2 linked regions of the Drosophila melanogaster genome follow. The protein of the gene in region 1 purifies or fractionates together with the protein of each later gene. This does not show direct contact. Each region holds a gene or a part of one and is shown on either strand. Other genes may lie near its edges. The genes, in order: UQCR-14 and UQCR-11.

Region 1 (11,697 bases):
TGAATACCTCGAGGCTCTGGACAGTCCGATTGTCTTCTCCCACAACGATCTTCTGCTGGGAAATGTGATCTATACGCAGAGCCTGAATACGGTGAACTTCATCGACTACGAGTATGCCGATTACAATTTCCAGGCCTTCGACATTGGCAACCACTTTGCGGAGATGTGCGGCGTGGATGAGGTCGACTATTCGCGCTATCCGAAGCGCGAGTTCCAGCTCCAGTGGCTGAGGGTCTACCTTGAGGAGTACCTACAGCGCAGCAACATTCAAAACGACGAAGTCGAACTGCTCTATGTCCAGGTCAATCAGTTTGCGCTGGCATCGCATATCTTTTGGACGGTGTGGTCCCTGTTGCAAGCCGAGCATTCCACTATCGATTTCGACTACGTAGGGTGCGTGTTGCATAGTATATGGACTGTAACTTTGAGTTGGGAATGCACGATGCAATTAGATGATAAATCCTTTAGATATATAGATATATATCATCAGTATATATATCAGTTTTGTTTGATAAGATCCATCAACAACCATTAGACGGCCATTATAATGGATTTATTATATTATTGTGCACCCTGCAATTCCTTTTTTCCCCCAATTACGACCCTTACAACCAATCGATACTAATGACCAATTTTTTATTCGCCCCATTTAGCTATGCATTTCTTCGTTATAATGAGTACTTGGCTCGAAAGGTGGAGTTTTTGTCATTGACTGCAGCTAAGAACAATAAGTGATTTCTCTCTCCCGGCCACTCAGCGCATTGGGAGTTACTACATTATGTGCCCAGTGATATATGTATAAACTAAGGCTGGAACGGGTCTCAATGTTATACATATGTATATATATAACGTGTGTTCAGAAATCAGAAACAAAAACCGAAACAAACTTAAATTAGTGTCGTGTTCGTGCCAGCCTTAGTGTATGTACAGTGCTCACTCGAAACAGTGGACTATTGAGAACCAAGGGTGTGCACTGAATCGAATTTGTTCACTATAACGAATCACAGAAAAAATAAACAATTTAATATATTTTTCAAAAACACCACGTTTGAAAAAATTTAATTTTTTTACTAAGTTAAGCGAAAGTTTCTAAAATTTCATAAATTAATCGTTCACTTTTACTAAAAAGTTCACATATTCGAGTGTTCACTCTTAAGGGAGGGCACTGTATATATAAAGAATTTGTATATGTTCTTTAATTTGTATAAATTGATATTTTGTAGTCATAATAAAGCGAAGGTATGTACTTTAAAATAAAAACGCTATCAATCATTTTAATGAAGGGTTTACCGTTGGCGGGGGCTTATCGCAAAAAATTGGGGAAATATTATTTAAATGAGAAGTAGGGATTTCCGCTTGTCGAAGCACTCCGCTAATTACCAACATTTTTGCCTTTTTTGTTTGCTGTTTAATATACAATACCCGTGTTGCAAGTTAAGTGAAAGTTGTATATCTTCAGGCATCATTTTTATAATTAATTTAATCGAGGTTATTGGTTAACATAAATTATAACTTAACCCAAATTAAAAACCTTTTTTGAGTGTTTCCCATAACAAATTACAAAAGGAGAAAGCCACAATCATTCGGTTTGATAAACTACAAGTATTTTGTTTATGAAGGCGGATTTTTACATGGGCTTAAATGGGTTTACAAGAATTTGAATTGATTTTATTTACTTTATACAAAAAGTTATTGCAAAATGACCAACTTTGGAGATGTAATTATACTGTAGTTCGGTTGCCGTCTCCACCAAGTTTTTGAACAATCTAAATACAAATACAAAAGGGTAAAATGTTAAAAGATAATATATTTAATAGCTCTAAAACTAAAGAATAACGAATTTTCTTGAGTGCGATATATCGATAGGTGCAGTGTGTCTGTATTACATTTCGGAAATCGATTTGTACAAACGCAACCGTAGTGCTCGTTGATCGATAACGGGGTGCGATAGCTATCGAGAGACCCATCTCCAACGTTCTCATACCTAAAATAAAAAGGCTGGAGGAATATCTCTTTCCCGACTTCTGATTTTACGTAAACCATGTCGAACTATATTGCCAGAAAGGGACCCGCAGTTCTCTGTAAGTAATACGAACGGGCAACAATCGGACTCACGTTGCATGCAACAAATTTCGTAGTGCAGTACGCCGGAATATTATGATTACGTAAATATGTAATGCGAATTTTTCCCCACAGCAAATCTGGGCAGATGGGCCTACAATCTCTCCGGATTCAACCAATACGGTAGGACTACTATATAACCTAGTGATTCCTAACAGCTGAGCTTGATGCCATCGATTTTTGCAGGTCTGCATCGCGATGATTGTCTGTATGAGAACGAGGATGTGAAGGAGGCCGTGCGCCGATTGCCCAGGAAGCTGTACGATGAGCGTAACTACCGCATCATGAGGGCCCTCCATCTGTCCATGACCAAGACCATTCTGCCCAAGGAGCAGTGGACCAAGTACGAGGAGGACGTCAAGTATCTGGAACCCTACCTCAAGGAGGTCGTGAAGGAGCGCGAGGAGCGTGAGGACTGGGAAAAGATCCACTAAACGCGCCACTAAATCCCTCTACTTTGGACTTGTAAATGTTGAAATACATAGCTTAGATAAATACCAAAATTGGCTATGAAATCGAGTCTGCGTGGTCGTTTGGGAATGTGGACCCTTCAGTTTATTTCAATGGGCTTTCGCGTCAAGGCGAGATGAGCGCGTTAAGTGATCATGAGTATGGGCTATTTGCTATGTTATATTTTTTATTTTTTGTGAGGCTCCATGCTACCTTACCTTTTGTATAAATGGTAAATTAAACAGCGATCCTAAAACAGGCACTCGGCCTAGGAAATTAATGGCCACGGGGAAGAAGCCGCTGAAAATATAAAGAGAAGGACATTAATAAGTAATAAGTAAACGACAAATCACTAAAAGAAGTTACTTCCACTTGTATTGCCATCTTGCACGTTTCGAAGTTAAGTTAAATTCTTATATTCACTGAATATTTTCCCTACTTTGAATAGATTTCCATTCATTAATCCGATATATATGAAGCAGACCTTTTAACGTTCGTTAAAAGATATTTTAATGAATAAAAAGACCTACATATATTAGGGTAATTATTAAGTTGCACCTTTGGTCGTAACTTATGAAGAAGCATGCAATTGAAAAGGTAAAAGGAGAGAGGTATAGATAGGAAAAAATGTATAAAAGGACAGAACAGAACAAAACAGACAGAAACAGCGAATAGTTATAATGAAGGACATACTTTTTGCTTTCTTTAGCTCTGATCAAATGCTATAAAATCTGATCGAGCTTTTTTTGTAAGCGAATCTGAAGAATTATACTTGGTATTTGCTGTTAATGCCACAGCGTCAAATTGTCCCATCTACATGACTTGCAGTCTTTCAATTAAAATATAAAATATTTCTAAAGGATGTCATCTGACAGCAACTTTGACTGCCAAGCCCTGACTTGCGAATGGTGTATTAAGAGCGGGAAAGCGAAAAGACCATGTGGAGTGCGTAACCGGTTAGCCCCGCTCAAATGGTCTTAAACGAATCCGACTGGGACTTGGCCAGGGTGCTACGAACCTGAAGAGTGCGAAAAATCCATAGGATTCAATAATCATGCCGAAGATGGGGAATCCCAGCAGGACGATGACGATTCCCCCTAAGAAGGCCGTTGTGCCTTTGACTTTGTGCCGTTGGAAGAAAAAGCGCATCGTGCGCTCCACGCCAATGACGCAGGCCAGGCCCGATATGAATAGAATCTGCGGGAAAGAGGCGATTGCTATTATTATAGAGCTCGAAGGGTGTGCTATATGGGGCATATGGTGCATGTGCATGTGGGTAACGTACATTGCCAATGGCGAGCAGTCCTTTATCGAACAGCAGCAGCATGCCGAGAAACAAAAAGAAAATGCCAAAACCAGCCAAGCCGATGCCAATTTCTGCGGGAAGATTTCAATAGGCGGTTTAGTTGCGCTGATGGCTTTCGCATATTAATGGCTACTTACTCTGCAAATCTGATATTTCAATCATTTTGTATTTGGCTCTGCTTTAATTTGATTTCAGAAAAAATTAAATCCACGTAAACACCAATTCAATTTCAAAGCACAAACAGCTGATTTCGACTTTCATTCAAAGTTACGTGCTAACGACTGTAAACAATGTTTGCAGGGATGCAAGCGCTTTAGTGTTGTAAAGCGATCAAGCTGCCGATTAATTATTTAAAACCTCTTGGATTCAGTCCATTTGGATGCAAATAAATGATAAAATGTATTAAATAAAACTATTTTTACCATTTAATACGTATTTTCCCACAAATATAATATTCGGCATATTTGTGTTCCATTCCCACACATTTCAATGATATATAGATAGATATTTCGATAGGCGCTACAAGACCCACACATACCAGCCCCCTTCGACGCACATCCCTAATTAATTTTCACACGCCATTTTACAATAGAATTTGTGACGATCTGACGCTTTCTTCAATTCGAGCAATTTGTACGCAGCGAGTTATTGAAACTCCTGCAATTCTATTGATTAAAAAAAGACTTCACGCAACGTTTATTAAACATGGAACGTAAGTATAATTTTAACACGCGCATAAGTCGCAACGTGAATTGAAAACGATGAAATATGTGCACTCTAGGTGGCGGTTATGGTGGTGGTTCGGGACAGGGATATAATAATTTCGCTGTCCCCCCACCAAATTACCAGCAAATGCCAAATAAAACGGGTAACTACAACGAGCCACCTCCGAACTACGGCAAACAAGGCGGTGGTAAGGCGTGCATGCGAACTTTGTGTTGCGAGCAACACACCAATACTCACAAACTTATGTTTTTAAGGTTATGATTCCGGTTCCGGTCATCGTGGTTCTGGTGGCAGCGGCAACGGTGGCGGCGGCGGCGGATCATGGAACGACAGAGGAGGCAATTCCTACGGGTATGTTATCCACTTTTAGTATTTCGCTGCTGTTGAGTTACAGCGAGGCTATTTAGATCATGGGTAGTAGTCTTTCACGGAGGTTTTTTAAGTGTTATAAGAGAAGTGTACGCATATATAAATATTTACAAATCAATCCAGCCAAACCAATGAGAAAAGACACCGAGCCACTCCTTGAAACATGAAGCGTATTTTAAAGATATTATTGAAATGCAAGAGATGCACTGTGCTGCATCAGAGTGTGAAACTGCTTGAAGCTATTCCTGCAACTACGACTTGTTCCGACTGCTTAAAAACGCAGAAAACATAAAATTATAACAACAAAAAAAAACGTATCTCCCAATTTGGCAAATTATTATTTATCCGCATGACTGTATTTCATGTACGTTTGTTTTTTTTTCATCGAAAATCTGTGTAAAAATATTAGAAAATGGTATTTCAAAATGGTTTTGACGAGTCAAATGAGTATAATGGTAAAAAAAAAAACAGATGATGCCCTGGGGAAACAAATATCTGCAATGCATAAATAATACTGGTTATACTGAATAAGTAATAATAAGTAATACCACAGTCGTTGCAATCGGAATAATAATGGTCGCCTAATGAAATCTATGATGAATTTGTGATAATTGCATAGAGAATCGCGCACATGTTATTATTATCGTTTTAAACCATACACTATATCATCCATTCCTGCCTTAATACGATACAATGCTAGCATAAACATGTTCCAAAATGAACATTCAAAAAATGTGTGTGTTCCCAACAGGATGGTTATGAAAACCAGATCAAACATGACACAAGTGTAATCGAAGATATAAAGCTAAAAAGAATATAAAAAATATCAACCAGCAATCATAAAATTAAATAAATTGTGGCTCGAGACAAAAACAATAAACAATAAAAAAATTCGATATATTATTAATGCACAGTTCGGAGGAATTGGTATGGTTCTGAGACTCTAATCATCTTAAGGTATTTACGTATACAAAAATAATAACAAATTTTAATTATTAGCTATTAAGGTTATTACATATGTTTATACACATAAGAAAGCAATGATTTTGCGCCTAAGAGAGAGCTTACCTCTAACAATCTAAATGTAAGATAGTTTTAAGCAATTTGTTTTATATAGTTTCAATCTCATTGACCGTTTTTAAGGTATTTTTTTTGTTTGTGATTTTAACAACTACTAAACTACTAAACTTTTGAATTATTTATCATTTAAGCTTGTTTTATAGTAGTTAAGCAAGAATGTAGGTATGTAGGTAGTGTTGTGTGTTTAATAACGATGGTATTTTGCTGCGATATACCTACTACATACATAAGTGTATTTAACTGGGTCGAACTCCTTCCTTCCCTCTCATTTCTGTGAATTTGGTAAACAAATGCTTTTCCAATAGTAGACTAATGCAAACGTTAAGATTATGTGTATAAGAGTTAGGTGTATGTATGGCAAACAGTATGTACGTTGTCCTCCTTGGCAGTTTGATCAGTGACTGCCGCCGCACTTGGCTCTAATTTTGTGATGGAAAGCAACAAAACGGACATTCGCTGTTTGAACGTCGTCGTCACTGACCGAACTGTGCCGGGTGCTCTATAGATGGTATTAGATGCCATAAGATCGAACAAAGCAATACGTATTCTAACAAGGGATCCTAGGCGTATACCTCACCATACTGCATTAAAACCAAAATCAAAGCATTAAATAAGTTATTCAATATCCTCTTTTAGAAATGGAGGCGCCAGCAAGGACAGCTACAACAAAGGTAAAAATAATGCAAACAATTGCAAACATATCGAGTAATGTATACCAATATTTTTCTACATATTGAACTTGAATCTAAAATCGAAGTAGAACAACAAAATTTTAAACACAAAAAAGAAAACCCAAACCGATTAGAACATAAAAACAGAGTCTAATTCCAAACCAAAAGAGTAAATAATTGAATATGCATATTAAACAAACATCCTCCTTTCCTGGCGGCATTCTTTTCATTGTGGGGCCTTGCCCATTTGAAATTTCGTCGAAAAGTCCACGCATCGTTACCTATAAAGTGTATTTAGCGTACTTTTCCAAATCGTTGATCTCTGTTTGATCAATATATAATGGTTAACGACCGACTCGGTCAGCCCACGGGTATTTAGTATTTAATTTCTGTAAAGTGTTGTATACATGTGTCAAAGCGTTGTCACGAATCAAATCAAGGGTTGGTCGGTCGGGCTAACTCCTGGCAATTTGGGGTCACCTGTTTGTGTTCTTGTGTACCAGTCAGTCTGGCTTTGATAGCTCAAAAGCCGACCGAAACCCGTTCAAAGTGTCCCCATGTCGTCTCTCCCACGGTCGTCCACCCACTAAAGGTTTTTTGAAATACACCTCAAAATTCTGGTTTCACATCTAAGTGTCCTGGTTAAAATGTCACGGAACAGCCGTCTACTTTGGTCCTCACCTTCGTTGCATTTTTTGGTGGTTGCAGTGAGGCGAGAAGTTCTAAGAAAAAAACAAAACAAAAAAAAGAAAATGAAAAAACCAAATATTAATTAAATAAAGTAGCAGTTGCATTCTAAGCTATACCCTGCCGTGCCAGCTCGTCCTTATTTCCCATTCGCTTTTGTAGGACACGGAGGATACTCGGGCGGCGGCGGTGGTGGTGGAGGAGGCGGCGGCGGTGGGTCCGGTGGCAACGACATGATCACCCAGGAGGACACCATCTTTGTCTCCGGCATGGATCCCTCGACCACCGAGCAGGACATTGAGACACACTTTGGAGCAATTGGCATCATCAAGGCAAGTAGTAATGTATTTTATGTATCTGTAGCTACGTTTTAACCTTTGTATCTTTCTATTCCTTTGCAACTGATCTAACAACAGAAAGACAAGCGTACAATGAAGCCCAAGATTTGGCTGTACAAGAACAAGGAGACCGGCGCCTCCAAGGGAGAGGCCACTGTCACCTACGACGACACCAATGCTGCACAATCCGCCATTGAATGGTTCGATGGACGCGACTTCAACGGCAATGCGATCAAGGTGTCGCTGGCCCAGCGCCAGAACAACTGGAACAAGGGCGGAGGCGGCGGCGGCGGTGGTGGTGGTCGCGGAGGATTTGGCGGACGTCGCGGTGGTGGTGGCGGCGGAGGAGGTGGCGGCGGCGGTGGAGGTCGCTTCGATCGCGGAGGAGGCGGTGGCGGCGGACGCTACGATCGCGGAGGAGGCGGTGGTGGTGGCGGCGGCGGTGGCAACGTGCAGCCCCGTGATGGTGACTGGAAATGCAACAGCTGTAATAACACCAACTTTGCCTGGCGCAACGAATGCAATAGGTGAGTTGAGAGTTGAGATATAATTGCTTTCAACATTCCATTCCATCATAATTCCTAAAACTCCACACTTGCTTGTAAATATCGTGGAGAACCCAAAGTGTAGACGAAAAACTTATCAGTGTTTGAAAGCAAGCAATTTTTGCTGATACGCCACATAATTGCCATAAGTCTTTATCTTTGGGGAACTACAAATTTTACAATCTTTGGCTTGCTACGATAATAATAATCACGTCCATTTGCAGATGTAAGACTCCCAAGGGCGACGACGAGGGCTCTAGCGGAGGTGGTGGAGGCGGCGGCTACGGCGGCGGTGGTGGCGGAGGAGGCTACGACCGAGGAAATGATCGTGGATCCGGCGGCGGTGGATATCACAACAGAGATCGCGGTGGCAACTCGCAGGGAGGCGGAGGCGGCGGCGGCGGTGGTGGTGGCTACTCCCGCTTCAATGACAACAATGGCGGAGGACGCGGTGGCCGTGGAGGTGGTGGCGGCAATCGCCGCGATGGTGGACCGATGAGAAACGATGGAGGCATGCGCTCGAGACCATATTAAGCGCATGGTAGCCAGCCGAACGCGGCACCTATTTTTTTCACTTTTACTTATTAATTGTAGCGAGAGTACGCTTTTAAATGTACTTTTAAAATTAACAGTCAGAGCAACTTTTAAATGATAATTGCCAGCACACGACTTCATTTGAACCGATTTTTATCCCAACACACACACGGTTATCGCTCGTTTTGACTGAATTATATTATATAATTATGTAATCTAATTTAACAACTGTAACTGTAACATGGTACATACGAATAAACATATATATATGTATACATATATAGCTCATATATATGTGTATATATATATATATATAGAGAAAATCAAAATCACTGCTTTGAATTCGGAAGTTGACATCATTCATTTCCAGCTTAGCTGACTAAGAAGGGGATTCCAAAGAATTCAATAAGTTCGCCTCGCCGAAATCTCCAGCGTAATTTTTAACAACAAAACGAGGAAAACTTGAAAAGTGACGCGTGCAATTTGTGGATAATTCAGCAACTGTTTCTTTTTGCAATAACAAAGGTGGTTAAATCCAGACTTTTTATTTTTAGAATTGCATTGAAGAGAATTGAGGCTGCTGCGCCCGCTATTTGCATGGATAACCGCTCACCTGCTGATCTGCTTTCAGAGAAGGTTGCTCATTATTACATTTTTGTATTATTTTCTTTTATTTTCAATATACATTATTATTATTATATTACAGTTCATCTTTTTCTAGCAGGGTGTAGCGATGCTTGGATGGGCCAAGTTCCTTGAATTTGGACTCTGGTGGCGATGTACCCTTGCCAGTGTGTGGGTCAGGTTCAATATCATTTGAGGGATCCGGCCCGTAATGAAATTCCCTGGAAAGCAAAGCAGCAGACCGTTTAGTAATTGAGCCCCATGGTGTTAGCAAAGGCGGCTGTATAACAATTACCTGTGCAGCTTGCCACTGTAGAGATCCTGAAGGAACTGCTTCAGCTTACCCGGCGAGTACATGTCACTGAAGTGGGGGAACAGATACATGTGCTTGAACGAGTCGATGGCAATCAAGGGCAAGTCATCCTCGGATTTACCCAGATGGTGCAGAGGATGCGCGAATCGCTTGCCATCGGCGGTCAAAAAGTTGACGTTCTCTGCAAAATTTCGAAAATACAATGTCAAACCAAATGCTTATATGCAAAGTAAACAACACGATGATTCATCTTACGTTTCTCATCCAGCAATTGACGCTCAATGATCGACTTGTAATCCTTGATAGAATTATGATCGGTTGGGTGGTGGAAGAGAATTAGGAACGGCAGACCCTCCTCCGTAAGTTCCTCTGCATTCTCAAATGTTATTTCCCGCACCAGGGGTACACACTTCTCTTGGACCCAAATTTTGAGCTCATCGAAATTTTGTAGGCTGCCAGTGTAGGTCTCATCGTTCTCATGAGACAGAGCTACATCAGGTCTAAATACTATGATAGGTGTACCTGTAATAGACCAAAAAAGCTGACATTCAGTATTGGCTTGGCATGACTTGGTGCGTTTGATAGAATTCACCTGGTGGATGCATGGCCTGGGCGGCATCTCCGAAGCCCACGTGGAACTGGCAGTCTTCCTTCAGATTTGTCGCCACCTTGCGGAATATGTCGTACTCTGGCTGGTCCCTACGATCGAAGTAGCCCAGAATGAGGCGCTTCTTCGAGTCCAGGTTCTCCAGATCCTTCAGGGATTTGAACTCCTGAATGGGATCCTCCAGCTGCTTCTTGACGAACTCGAGGAACGCTTCGGCTGAACGCTGTCCTCGGTATTCGCGCTTGCTGAGCTGCCCATTGCGTACAATTTTCAATGTTGGATACTTGTTTATGTGGAAACGGGACGCGATGGCCGTTTCCTTGTCGCAATCGACCTTGCCTAGCACCACTTTTCCAGCCTCTGGAAACTCCTCTTTAATCTGTAAGAGAAATTCGATTGAATGCCACGTATTTATTCGATATAAAATGTATATGAATGTATCGCATTGTTTGTAAGCTTTTACTGGCGATCCATTTGACTCACCTTATCTGCAGCTTCCGCGAATATAGGTGCTAAAATATTACTAAACCGACACCACTCCGCATAAAAATTAAGGAAAACCAATTCATTAGACGCTGCAAGAAAACAAAACGTGTTTTTAATGTAGGCACCAAATTGTGTGTAAAATTGTTGATGCGTAGAATACAACTCCGTTCAGATACTAAATATAATAACTTTTAAAAACATATATTTGGTAATATATTTATATCAATATTGAATTACGGGTTTATGTATTAATAATTTAAATGCATATGTATTTTTATGGAATATATTTAAATTTGTCGCTGAATATACATATTAAAGTCAAGAAATTTCTAGCATCCTACTATTCCATAACTTCCGAAAGTTAAAATTTAAGGGGTGCAAGCCTAAGGCCAGGCTTTACTGTAAAAGTTAACGTTTGGATAATAAAAAAAAATAACTTTAAAAAAACAATATAGTATTACCGCAGGATTGTGTACAGGACACACCGTATAAAAAGGACCTATTCATGCAAAGACCAAACTTCGGACATTCTGAGCAAAGAACTGCCGACCAATGGCTAGTGCCCATTTTGGCGGACTATCGGACCGATGCAGCATGAAATATAAACCGCCCTAATTAAGTTTTATCCAAATTCCACACCTTGTCCTTTACGAAAGCGCATAAAACTTATTTTACCACGTTGGCAGTGCCGAATTGAGCGAGCCAGTGATTTTGTTTAGTGACACGTCAATGGGACAAGTCGGCTAATTGATTCCCGCTCACGCTGGCAGCGGGAATGGCATGGGGATGACTGTGATGGTTATGGTATGGGCATATCTCACCTAGGGTCATATCGATATT
Region 2 (11,546 bases), on another chromosome or scaffold:
TGATTAACATTTTTAATATCAACATAACATAATCAACATAATATCAACATACAATGACCGTTGGTGATTTTTATAATATATAAGCATTTATTTATCGATTGATTTTATGTCTTATTTACAGATACCTCACAGCAGCGACTATTCTCTTAAAAAAAGAAATGCTATTAATATGAGTTCCACACTAAAACGTGATTTCTTTCAATGAGACGAATTATTCTTGTTCACACTGTGCCATAATAATGTCTTCATTCCAACGATATAAACTACCATAAGATTGTCGGAAACAGTGGAATCTCCATAATATATGACCACACGTTGCACATCGATCCCTCTTGTCTTGTTCAAAATCATCACAATTTCGGTTATAACAAGGAAGCAGTTGGTCTCCAAGTAGTCTGCAACCTCTCTCACACAATCTTGGTATATCCTTGAGGAGGGTATATCGATTTCAGTTATAAGCTTGCAACGAAGTGAAAAAAGCATTTCAGTCCAATTAAGTGGGTATAAATATCAGTAAGAACAGCCGTACCCTTTTTCACGATAATTATTCTTTTAATTTTTAACATATCTAAATCGGTTCACCATATCTTAAAGATGTCATATGAAAAATTTTAAAGCTACCTCTCTTGTTTTTTAAAGGTTTTTAAAAGCAACAAAGATTTTATGATACGAACACTTTGTGCCTCCGATTAGTTTTCTTGTGAGGGGATTTGAATGGGTGGTCAGTTTTACTAGGTATTTTAATTTTCTTCTCAGTTATTATTTCGATAAATAATTTGATTTTTTTCTCTCTGTGTATGTCTTCGTTCCGAAGGTATCACGCTCTAGTCAGAATTCTCAGAATTGTTGGCTGTTCTCGCTGAATGGATGCCCCACAGGTCGGAGCCATAAGTCCAGATTGGTTTTAAGACGGAGTTGTATAGGAGAGCTTTGAACTCCACGCTAAGTGGAGAGCGAGCATGAGCCAGTGAAGGTTCCTTGCATCTTATTGCGACTTCAGTAGCTTATGTATGTTTTGGAACAATAGCTTGGCTAGTTTAAGCAAAAGTCCATCCAGAAACACTGTCAAATGCCTGCGCGACGTCTAGTAAAATGGCTGTGTAATATTCTCGATGCTCAAAAGCAGTACGAATTTCTGACGTGATTCGATTGGCCTGTTCGATGGTTCCATGTTTTTTCCATGACGAGGGCTTATTCCCAGGAGTAGCATTTTTTCAAATAAATTTTAGAGATAAGTTAGTTACTGTATCGGTCTATATGATGATGGCTGCGTTTTATCTTTTCCTGGCATTGGAATCATTACTATGGTAGATTTTTTCCATTTTTGAGGGAAGTATCCATGCTTGGCGATTGCGTTGAACAACAAGCACATGTGCAGAACATCACACTGGGAGTTCAATAAGGATTTTTTGAGTTATTAGGTCGAAGCCAAAATCGCTTCAGTTGCTTTTTGATAACCTTTGCTAATTCACATAATCTAAGTTTGCTTCTGCTAAAGGAGGGAGAATAATGACTTTATAGCAGGATTTGGTAGAAATAAAATTTGTAAGTGGTCAGCAACTGCTCTGGCTCTTTTCTCATCACTGTCTTTTCTCTACAAAAGGTTCTTAGTGCTGGTGGGCATACGTCACTTTGCACCCGAAACTAGAATATTTTCAACAGTGTCCGTTGACTTGTCTATATTTTCCTTAGCAGATAATGCCGGCGTTAGTTCTATGTGTGATCTGGGTCTGGGATTTTTCTTGGGTCTGCTGGTCAGTATGTATTGGATAGCGTGGTGGGCAGTAGACTGCGGCTAGAGTCATTGAACCATTGTTGAGTAGTTAGACTATGGACGTAGATTGAGGTGGTTTTTATGCGATTTCTGATTAGTATGCCAGTGCCTCCAAGAGCTTTACCATCTGAATGATTTGTGAGGTGCGTTTCTGATAGTAGCATTACTCCAGTGTTTTTTTCGGTAATGAACTGTGTGAGTTCTTGTGTATGAAGTGAATAGATATCCGTAGGGAAGCCAGCATGGGGATTTTGAAGATACAAGAAGTTGTATCAGGAAATTTTGCACGTTTTGATCGTTATGAAATATTTCATGCTTTTCTGTAGGGATAGCATCATAGCTTCAATGCCACTTTGTTCAGTTTGTTGCATATTTGTCAATTTATGTTCGGAATGAGCAGTTCTAGTCGGTGAGGCGGGGACTTCTAGTCCGGATTTTAAGGCGCTAGCGAAGAAAATTCCAAGAGTAGTGCTTGGGACAGTTAAGGGTGGTTGAAACATCGAATGCGGAGAGCAGAAATTGACTTTGTTGTATGTATTTGCTATACGTTAAACCACACAGCAGTATGCCTTGGTGTGGCCGTATTCTTGGCAATCGCCTTCTGCTTTTGTTTTGGTTCTTTTTTTACGTCCATTATTGTTGTTGCCAATGGTCGGTGTTGCAGAATTATTTACAGCTGGCACAGCGATTAGTTGGGCCGCTAACGAAGTTGTTGTTGTGGTAGCAGTGACAGTTTCTAGGGAGGTCACTGCACTTGTTATTGCAGTGTTACAGTTACCCGGAATGTTCGATTGTGGCTGTGTGGGGAGCGGTGTAGGAGAGGCGGTCTTTTCGCTCCGCGAGAGCAAAAGCTTGTTTTTCGAGTTAGTTGAAGGTAAGGGTGCTCGATCATCGAATTGCCCCGAAACGAAAGCAATGTATGCATGGTTGCGTTGTAAAGAGAGACGGCGCTCAACTTATGAAGGCATTATTGGCAGCTTGTGTTACCGCAATTGGCGATTCTAGTTTTAAGGCAGATGGTTCGTCAGTAAATAACTACTCGACTGACATTACTGCTGCCATTGCTTGCAATGTCGTTGAAAGTCAGTCGTGCCTAAACATTGACATTTTCAGCTGAAACATATTCCTAAATCTGACGCTCGCGGACCCAAAGTGTCATCGTTTTCTACCCATAGACTTAATGATTGGCGCTAGTCTCTTCTACGAACTGCTGTGCGTCGGTCAAGTCAATACCACATGCAATTCTAGTGTCTTTGGTCGCACCTACACCTTTGACTTGGAGTTCTGCTGTTTCCTCTGCAAATAAGTCGCTCTCCAATTATTCATCATATTCTTTAGTAATTTATGCATAAACAATACACGACAGCGCCACTCGGTCGGTTGGGCGGGAGGTGTGGCCGTGGGACCCGTGCAATTGATAAAAAAATAAATTATCGTTCGAGATCGCTGCATAGAAATCGTCTTTTCTTTGCAAATAGCTAATAGAAGAGCTTATTAGTTAAACAGTATTAGTTTTGTAAATTTCTAACGGTATTCCTAAAAACTTTTTGCCACGCCCACAAACCGCCAAAAACTGCCTCGCCCACACTTTTTAAAAATGTTTTTATATTATTTCGTATTAATATTAGTCTTTTATCGATTTTGCAAAAAAAAAAGTTTTGCCATGCCCACTCTAGCGTGAACAAACCGCCCAAAACCGACCTTACCATTGAAAAATGTTTGATTCTTCTTCGTTTTATTGTTTGTCTTCCGGCATTTTAATCGGCATACCAAAGACACTTTGGTCACGCAAACACAAACAAAACGCCCAAAACACACTTTTGAACCATTTTAGGTTTTCCTCATTTTTTAAAATTATTCTAGTGTCTTTGTTTACTCATGCGTCTCTAATGTCTCGAATAAACTTTGCAAAGAAGCATCGAATCTATTTTCTGTGCTTAGAAAAGGGACATATGGCGCGGTTCTGTAGGATTGATGGAATTTAGTTTACTGTGGGCTTACAATCCTTAACTGGTCTGCTATGGAAGAATTACGAGGTGAGGCTGACAGGCAGCTATAATATGAGGGTCATCAACATTGACAGCATACAGAGAAATTGAAAATGGCTATGTCAAGATGATACGTACAGTGACAGTGACAGTGTCTGCCACACTTCGGTGTCGAAAATCCAAATGAACCTACCAAAATACGTATAATCTACGTAATCTATAATGACGCAGCCAAGTCCCGGGATTAGGAGCTGCTTCAAGGTTTCTTGCAGTACACGTTCCTGTCGGAAGTGTGTGTACTTCAGGGAAGCAGCAGTCGGGGTCTAAAGATGGCCCAGGAATTGTCGACAGTCGCACTGAGGAATTTTATAAGCTGCCGTGGACCGGTGGCCAGATTGAGGAGTCAAAACGGAGAAGATGTAGAACGAACTGTCATCAAATTAAATGGAATGAAAATTTCAATGCCGGGCAGGAGGCGTATGCGAGCGGATGGTCCACGGGTTGAAGAAGGTACTCGCGCATACTAATAAAAAAATTAAGGTTAGTTTCAAATATTTTAGGTCTTTTTATTCTGCTTTTTACCACACTATGGTTCCTATTCAAATACAAATTACAACAACTATTCAATACAAATTTTATTTGTGTGTGTAATTTTATAGAGAACACGCATAGTTGTATATATCAATAAAGAAGTTTTCGCATCAGTTTTATGAAAACTTTCTATCACTTAAGCATATATTTATTTGATTGCTTTTAATTAGTTATTGTTTAAAAACTAGAGCAAAAAGAACCAAAAAGACAGAGAAGACAACTCTGGCCCACAACGAATTAGTAATTATTAATTTTCAGTAGATATTTTATCCACTTTTTTTATCAGCTTTTAGCTGATTGAATTTCGTTTTAAAAACACCACGTCATTTTTAAATGTTTGCCTCCAAAAACATGTATCAAGGGAATCAGGAAAAAATTATGAAAAGTTTTAAATAAAAGTTTATAGCCTAAAAAAAATTATCTGACCCCCGTCACGGCGGACAACTGGCCAAAAATTATTTTAATTGCTTTGATTGTACCTTGTGTGAACAGATTTTAACATCTAGGTAAAATTGCAAACGGTTCATAAAGATGTATTCTATTGGGGCTAGGCTATAAGCTTAGCTAATTGATATATATGCATAAAATAATCTGTTTTTGTTGGTCTGGCCCTCATAATTCAGGCATACATAAAATACATTGTGATTGCATCATAGCGGTCTTAAAGGTTATAGTTATTTTTCAAAAATGTAATTTACGTTCATATTCATAAAATTTGGTACTATATATGTTTTTGAATTCTGACTAGTTTATTCTCTTTTTAGCATTAATAATGGCTTTTAGGAACTGGTTTTCGCTTCCCGCCGTCAGAGCTGATGACGAAGAGGACTTAGTTGACCCTCAAGCAGTTTTAAGGGTAAAAAAGATTTCTTTACATCATTTAATATAACACTAAACTGATTTTTATGCAACAGGAAAAATGTCAAGCTAAAGGTCACATAGAATCCTTGTACAATAAGTACCAAGAGTGCAATGATCGTGTTAATGGGCGATCCAAAACAACTGAGACTTGCATCGAAGAATTATTTGACTATGTTGCTGAGTTAGATCATTGCGTTTCGCACAGTCTTTTTACAAAGCTTAAGTAAATACCATTAAAGTCAATTCCATTAAAGGGAAGGGCAGTGCTTAAAAATAAGAACATAAATAAACAAATCTCTTTATCGAGTTTTATACGTGTTTTGTGCCTTTTGGTGATCAGAACCTTTTAGAAGCGAAATTGGGTAGGTAATACTACACTAGTGGGCATAAGTATTTGCACGCCTTTGTTTTAATACTAAACCAAGGGTATTCTATTAAGTTGAGGGCTGGAATTTGAGGTGGCCAATCCAATGTTTTTATGCAAACATTTTTCAGAAACAGTAATCAGTTTGGTCTTATAACAGGGAGCATTATCATGCTGGAGTATGAAGGACTCTCCAATCAATTCATCATCATTATTATTAAGGACATCTAAATATTTTATTTGATTCATGTGTCCATCAACAGGAACCAAATCTCCCAAGACAGTGAAGGCTACGCATCCCCAAAACATAACAGACCCTACTGACTATTCTTTGACATTCTGGTGCCAGTTTTTTTCGATATTCCGATATCGAATTTTCGAAATTTAAAAGGTGGAACCATTTGCCCATGTTTTCCATTGCCAGCGCTTATGCAATGCATTTGCGCTGCAAATGTGTCTGTACGTATGTATATATTTATAATACATTGAAGTATTTGTATTGAGTAAAGTAATATGAGTTTACTGAGTGGGCTTCTTTTTTATTTTAGTTTATTTTTATTGATATTGTTTTCATTAAGTGATGCCATCAACTATGAATAAAAAAGTTTTAACGTGTAATTATGAACTACTTGTTTTTTGTTTAGTTACTTAATTTCATAACAAAACTATCTCCCACTGCTATTTTTATTTTGTTATGTGTAAGTCATTATTTTCATTATTCTTTCATTTATACTCTTCATGCATAGTTCTAGTTTTCTTATATGGTACTTCCAATCTTCATTTACTTTCCTTCTTTCCTATATGATAAATCGGCTGCTCTGCCAAAAACTATATGGAAACTATAGAACGGGTTGTATAAAACAATGTACGAAATTCTGAAGCCACAGGTCCCAATCAGTTTTATCAACTGATATGTATTCAACTGATAAGTTTTCAGATGGTGGTGAGCGGTAAATGTTAAATTTTTAATTTTAAAATTTTTGCAAAAATCGTTGATTATTGAGTGCTTATACTCTGTACCCATGAACGTTTTCAATGGACCGTAAGTCAGGATAAAGGATTCGAAAATTGAATTAGCGACTTGCGATCTTATATAGTATTGGTATTGCAACTAAATATTTAGTTAAGTTACAAATAAAGGTGACTGAAGACTCATTACCATTATCCGACTTTGGTAGAGGAGGACCTATATTACCCACTATTACTTTGTCGAAAGCATAGGGGGTTTCTGTTATTGGGGTTTTCCGTATGCTTAGTTATTTTATTTTTTTGCATTTTAGACATTTCTTGTTGTAGGTTCTGATTTCTTTAGACATACCTTCTAAGCCTTTGAAATGTCATATCTTGCAGTAATTGTTTTTCCTTGTTTAAAAAAACAACATTTTATTTACTATCACGTTTTCTATCGATTGCATATGCAAGGATGTTTTGTGCGTTCCTCCTGCGCAATATTTTTGACTACTTTGTAATCGTGAAGTGACTTTCATTATATTACCAGTAATGTCTTTTAATTCTTTGGTGGTTATTCTTTGTAGCGCATCAGCAAAATAATTTTCTTTTCCTCTGAGATCAACTGTAAAACTATATTCCCCCAATTCAAGTCTTATACGAGTCAACTTTGAAAACAAATTGGTGAGTGATCTACGATCTGCTTTGACTGTAAAATGTTTACCGTAAATATAGGGTCTAAAGTGGGTTATTGGTCAATGTATTGCTTTTAACTCCTGTTCCAATCTGCTTGTATTGCTTTCACCCTTTTTTACAAAGAGCCTATTGGCCAAACAACCAGCGCGACAGGCAGGTTGGAAAAGTTTGCAGTCATACGACGAACCAAAATTCGGGGGCGGTTAAAAAAAACCCCATTTTGTTAGAACTCCAATGTTTGTTAGAACTCAAAGTGGTTTCTTTAAACAAAAGCCACACAAAAGTGCAGGTAATGGGCAAAGCCAACTGGCGCTAGAGCCAATGGAAGTTGACCCCTCCTCCCGGTCCAAACAAACTACAAGATGGTAATGAGGGCGGTCAGCACGGTCTCAGCAAAGAAGATAATGACTTCGTTGCCCAAGCAAGCGCCATAGAAGTAGAGGACGAACTGGATGCAGAGGATCGTGAAATTTTTTAGGGTAAAGTTCCCTAACATTACACGTAGGGTGGCTGGAGGAGAAATAAAACTATTACTCGATACGGGCACCTCAAAAAATTATATTACTCCTCTCCCGGGACAGAAAAACCCTTTACTGTATAGTAAATCCATGGCCAAAATTAATTAAAAATGTCTTGTTTCGGTGTTTAACGTAAAAACACCCTTTTTTATTCTGAACAATTCTAATTCTAAACAATTCTAAACAATTAAATGCAAAACTTGATTTTACCAGAAATGTTCTAAATACTAGTAACGGAACTGAAAAGATCCAGTTTACTAGGGCAGAAAACGTTAGCTTCATTGAAATCGATGATGAAGACGTATTAAAAACTCCTTCGATAAAATGATTGTTAAAAATCACAAAGCCTTCGCTGACCCAGACGGGGCATTACCATTCAATATAAATACTATCGCCACAAATAAAACAGATGGGGAGCCAGTATATTCAAAATCATAGCCGCATCCCATTGGTGTGACTAAATTCATCAATGCAGAGGTTAAACAACTTCTAGCGGACTGTTTAGTAAGGTCATCTAAAATAACTTTACAACCCGACCTGGGTTGTAGACAAAAAGGGAACAGATCAAAACGGGGTAAAAAAGTAACGGCTAGTTATCAATTTTAGAAAACTAAATCAGAGAACAGTCGACGATAAATACCCTATCCCAACCATTTTAAATTTTATTACGACACTTGATCTTAAGTCATGCTTTCACCACATAAAGCTGGCAGAAAAGGACAGAGAAAAGACGGCATTTTCAATAAACAACGGCAAATACGAATTTTGTAGATTACCATTTGGGCTTAAAAATGCCCCAAGCAAAGGGTCATTGACGATGTCTTAAGAGATGGAATTTCAAAGATATGCTACGTGCACGTCGATGACTTCATAATTTTCTCCAAAACAAAGGAAGACCACGTTAAGGACGTGGATTAAGTTTTAAGAAAACTCCTGGAGGCAGGCATGCGAGTATCCCAGGAGAAGTCAATGTTCTTTAAAAAGAGCGTTAAATACTTGGTGTTCATAGTGTCACAATCGGTTCTACGAAATTCACCTGAAAGGGTCGAAGCCATAAAATAATTCCCCATACCTAAAACGCTTTTCGAACTCAGATCATTTCTGGAATTAGCAGGCTACTATAGGTGTCTTATAAAGGACTTTGCGACAATCGCAAGGCTTTTAACGAATATCCTAAAGGGAGAAAACTTAAAGCAAATCTTGAGGGAATATTTTTTCCCTAAGATGCTACGGTTAGAAACAGAACAACTTTGAACTGCAAGACGTGCTCAATGGCTAAATACAAATGTCATCCATCCAAATAAGCGGTAGCAGAAACACCGATACCTTCCTATGTGGGGGAAATCCTTCACATCGACATAATTTCAAAATATGGAACCCTTTTTCTACGTGCATTGATACATTTTCGAAATTTGCCACAGTGCAGGCCAAATTTCGAAAGTTTCTTTCCAAAAATAAAAACCATTTACTGCGATAACGAAAGATCCTTAAATTCCGAAACCAATGTTAGTAAATCATTTTAGTATCACCATTTCCAACGCCCCTCCTCTACAGAGCACCTCAAACGGTTAGGTAGACAGGTTTCATAGTACCCTGGCAGAAATAGCCAGATGGAAACCGGCCTAAATGGCACAACCGAATTGATTCTGTTCGCAACCAACAAGGATAACAATTCTATTCACTCGGTATTCTATCGGTTAATGAAAAACCGATAGAAATGGTCCACTCGAAGTCTGCGGAAATCGAAGGGAAAATCAGCAAAAAAAATTAAACAGACACAGAAAAAGACCCTTGACCAAGTAAATAAAGATAGAACCTACAAGGACTATCAAGTTGGTTAAAAGGTGTTCTTAAAAACCAACAAACGCCTAGGGGACAAGCTTTCCCCACTATGTTCGGAAGAAACCATAGAGGCAGACCTGGGGACCACGGTCCTAATAAAGGGGAGGGTGGTCCACAAGGTCAATCTACGATAAACATCTTCGCAAGATTTCTGACCCCGTCCAATCTTTTTTATATCTTTTCAGGTTACGGTATTCCATTCTAATTCTTATACTAACGACTGTTAGGACAGACGCGGCGGTACGACTTAGTGACTATACGAACGCAGACTACACCCCCGAAGAGGACAATAAAATCGTCATCTGGGAATCGTACGGATACTTGCAACACTCGACAAACAAGACAACGTACGAGAAATACGCCGACCAGACAGAGACAATGACAAGGACGCTTACAGAAGACCACCGGACACCAGTAATTATGACGGACTTGACACACACTCGCAAATTAGTAGCCACTCTAAGGTTCCACCATAGGGCTGCTAGGAGTTTAAATTTGATCGGGATGGTACTGAAGGACATCGCCGGTACCCCAGTCTTTAACGATTGGGAAAAAATAAAACCAATCAAGACCAGTTAACAAAAACAGAAAAAAACCAAACAGAATTAAATATCAAATTCCAAACACTATTGAATGAACTCGCAACAGCAATGAATCAAATTTCTAAAACTGAAACACACTTACTAGAGATCATTTTAGCTAAAAATAGAATTGTTATTACAGATTTGGAGAATATTCTTATGGGGTTATCCATAGCAAAACTAAACATTGTAAGTCCATTATTTAGAGAAATATAAAGAAATATAATTAAATTAACCAACGACTTATAATTTATATATACTTCATTTCGTCTTAAACACTTCCTTCTGCCTGTTAAATAATTTTCATGGAATATAGTATACCCTTTTACTTTAATAGTAAGAGGTATAAAAACAGGTACTTGCACTTAAATGTCACGTAAATTTTTAAGCTGAATCTCAATCTTTCAGCGTTCATAGCGACAGGCCGACATAAAGACAAGAATACATGTTATTGCCCTAAAAGTCATTGTCCCACATCTCAAATTCCAACAACATTTCTGGGTAAACACCAGTGCCCAAAATGCTGACCAGACAAAAATTCTAAGTCGCGGAGCAAAATAAAAATTTTGCAAAAAAAATTCGTTGGTTAAATTACTGCCGAAGAAACTCCCGTGAGTTAATGAAAAATTTACATATATACAATATATATATATCCGAGCATTTTATTACAAAAATGTACAGAGATAAAGCCCTGGACACTTTTATTAGAGGCCTTCGAGGAGACTCACCTCGCCTCTTGGCTATAAAGGAGCCAGCCGATCTCCCTTCAGCTTTGCATTATTGCTTAAAACTTGAAAATCAAACATACAGATCAAACCATGCGGAAAATAAGGGGCAGCAGTCGGGCTTCAGGGTAAACGAAAAACCCACCGGCACCCCGCATTTTTCAGCCGTCGAATGCCTTTGGCCATCGACAGCCTCCACCGGTCCCTCCACGAAACCTCATGAGGAGACCACCACAACACATAGGCCAGCCATTCGCTGCTGGCAACGCATGCTCAATTTCGGTAATGCACCGTTCGCCGCACCCCGACGAAATTATCAACAACAATGGCAACCAAATAATGCCCCACCCTGTCCTTTTGCGACCAAACCGCAACCAAGACCAGAACCAATGGACGTGGACCCCCATATACAGACGAGAAATGTCAGCGGTCAGATTACAGACATAAACAAAAGACAAAGAAATTATAACATCCAAACAATGGGCAAGGAACAGCCAAGTGTCGAAATGGCACCATGGACAAATATTGCAACGGACTGACGGACCACTTAAATGACGAAGAGCAACGTACTTCGAATGTAGAGTAAGGAGTGCAAAGGTTCTAAAAGTGTTGATCGACACGGGCTCCACCAAAAACTAAAATCAGCCCAAACTGGTGT

Evidence for each region.
Region 2: the proteins of UQCR-14 (region 1) and UQCR-11 fractionate together in Drosophila melanogaster (co-fractionation; one study listed by BioGRID). This does not show direct contact.

Annotation. Positions count from the first base shown.
Region 1 is NC_004354.4:16,284,369-16,296,065, forward strand, and holds UQCR-14 (Ubiquinol-cytochrome c reductase 14 kDa subunit), read left to right. Parts: upstream 1-1,919; 5' UTR 1,920-2,041; coding exon 2,042-2,081; exon of another isoform or gene 2,082-2,196; coding exon 2,197-2,244; exon of another isoform or gene 2,245-2,307; coding exon 2,308-2,555; 3' UTR 2,556-2,620; downstream 2,621-11,697. Other genes in the region: eas (easily shocked), read left to right, coding at 1-393, 654-735; CG32576 (uncharacterized protein), read right to left, coding at 1,722-1,766, 2,790-2,871, 3,590-3,768, 3,857-3,948, 4,015-4,039; caz (cabeza), read left to right, coding at 4,583-4,589, 4,659-4,790, 4,858-4,954, 6,689-6,723, 7,573-7,742, 7,827-8,275, 8,518-8,827; ERp44 (endoplasmic reticulum protein 44), read right to left, coding at 9,528-9,672, 9,747-9,945, 10,020-10,286, 10,357-10,750, 10,855-10,946, 11,679-11,697.
Region 2 is NT_037436.4:25,115,777-25,127,322, forward strand, and holds UQCR-11 (Ubiquinol-cytochrome c reductase 11 kDa subunit), read left to right. Parts: upstream 1-4,972; 5' UTR 4,973-5,042; intron 5,043-5,101; 5' UTR 5,102-5,125; coding exon 5,126-5,209; intron 5,210-5,267; coding exon 5,268-5,441; 3' UTR 5,442-5,595; downstream 5,596-11,546.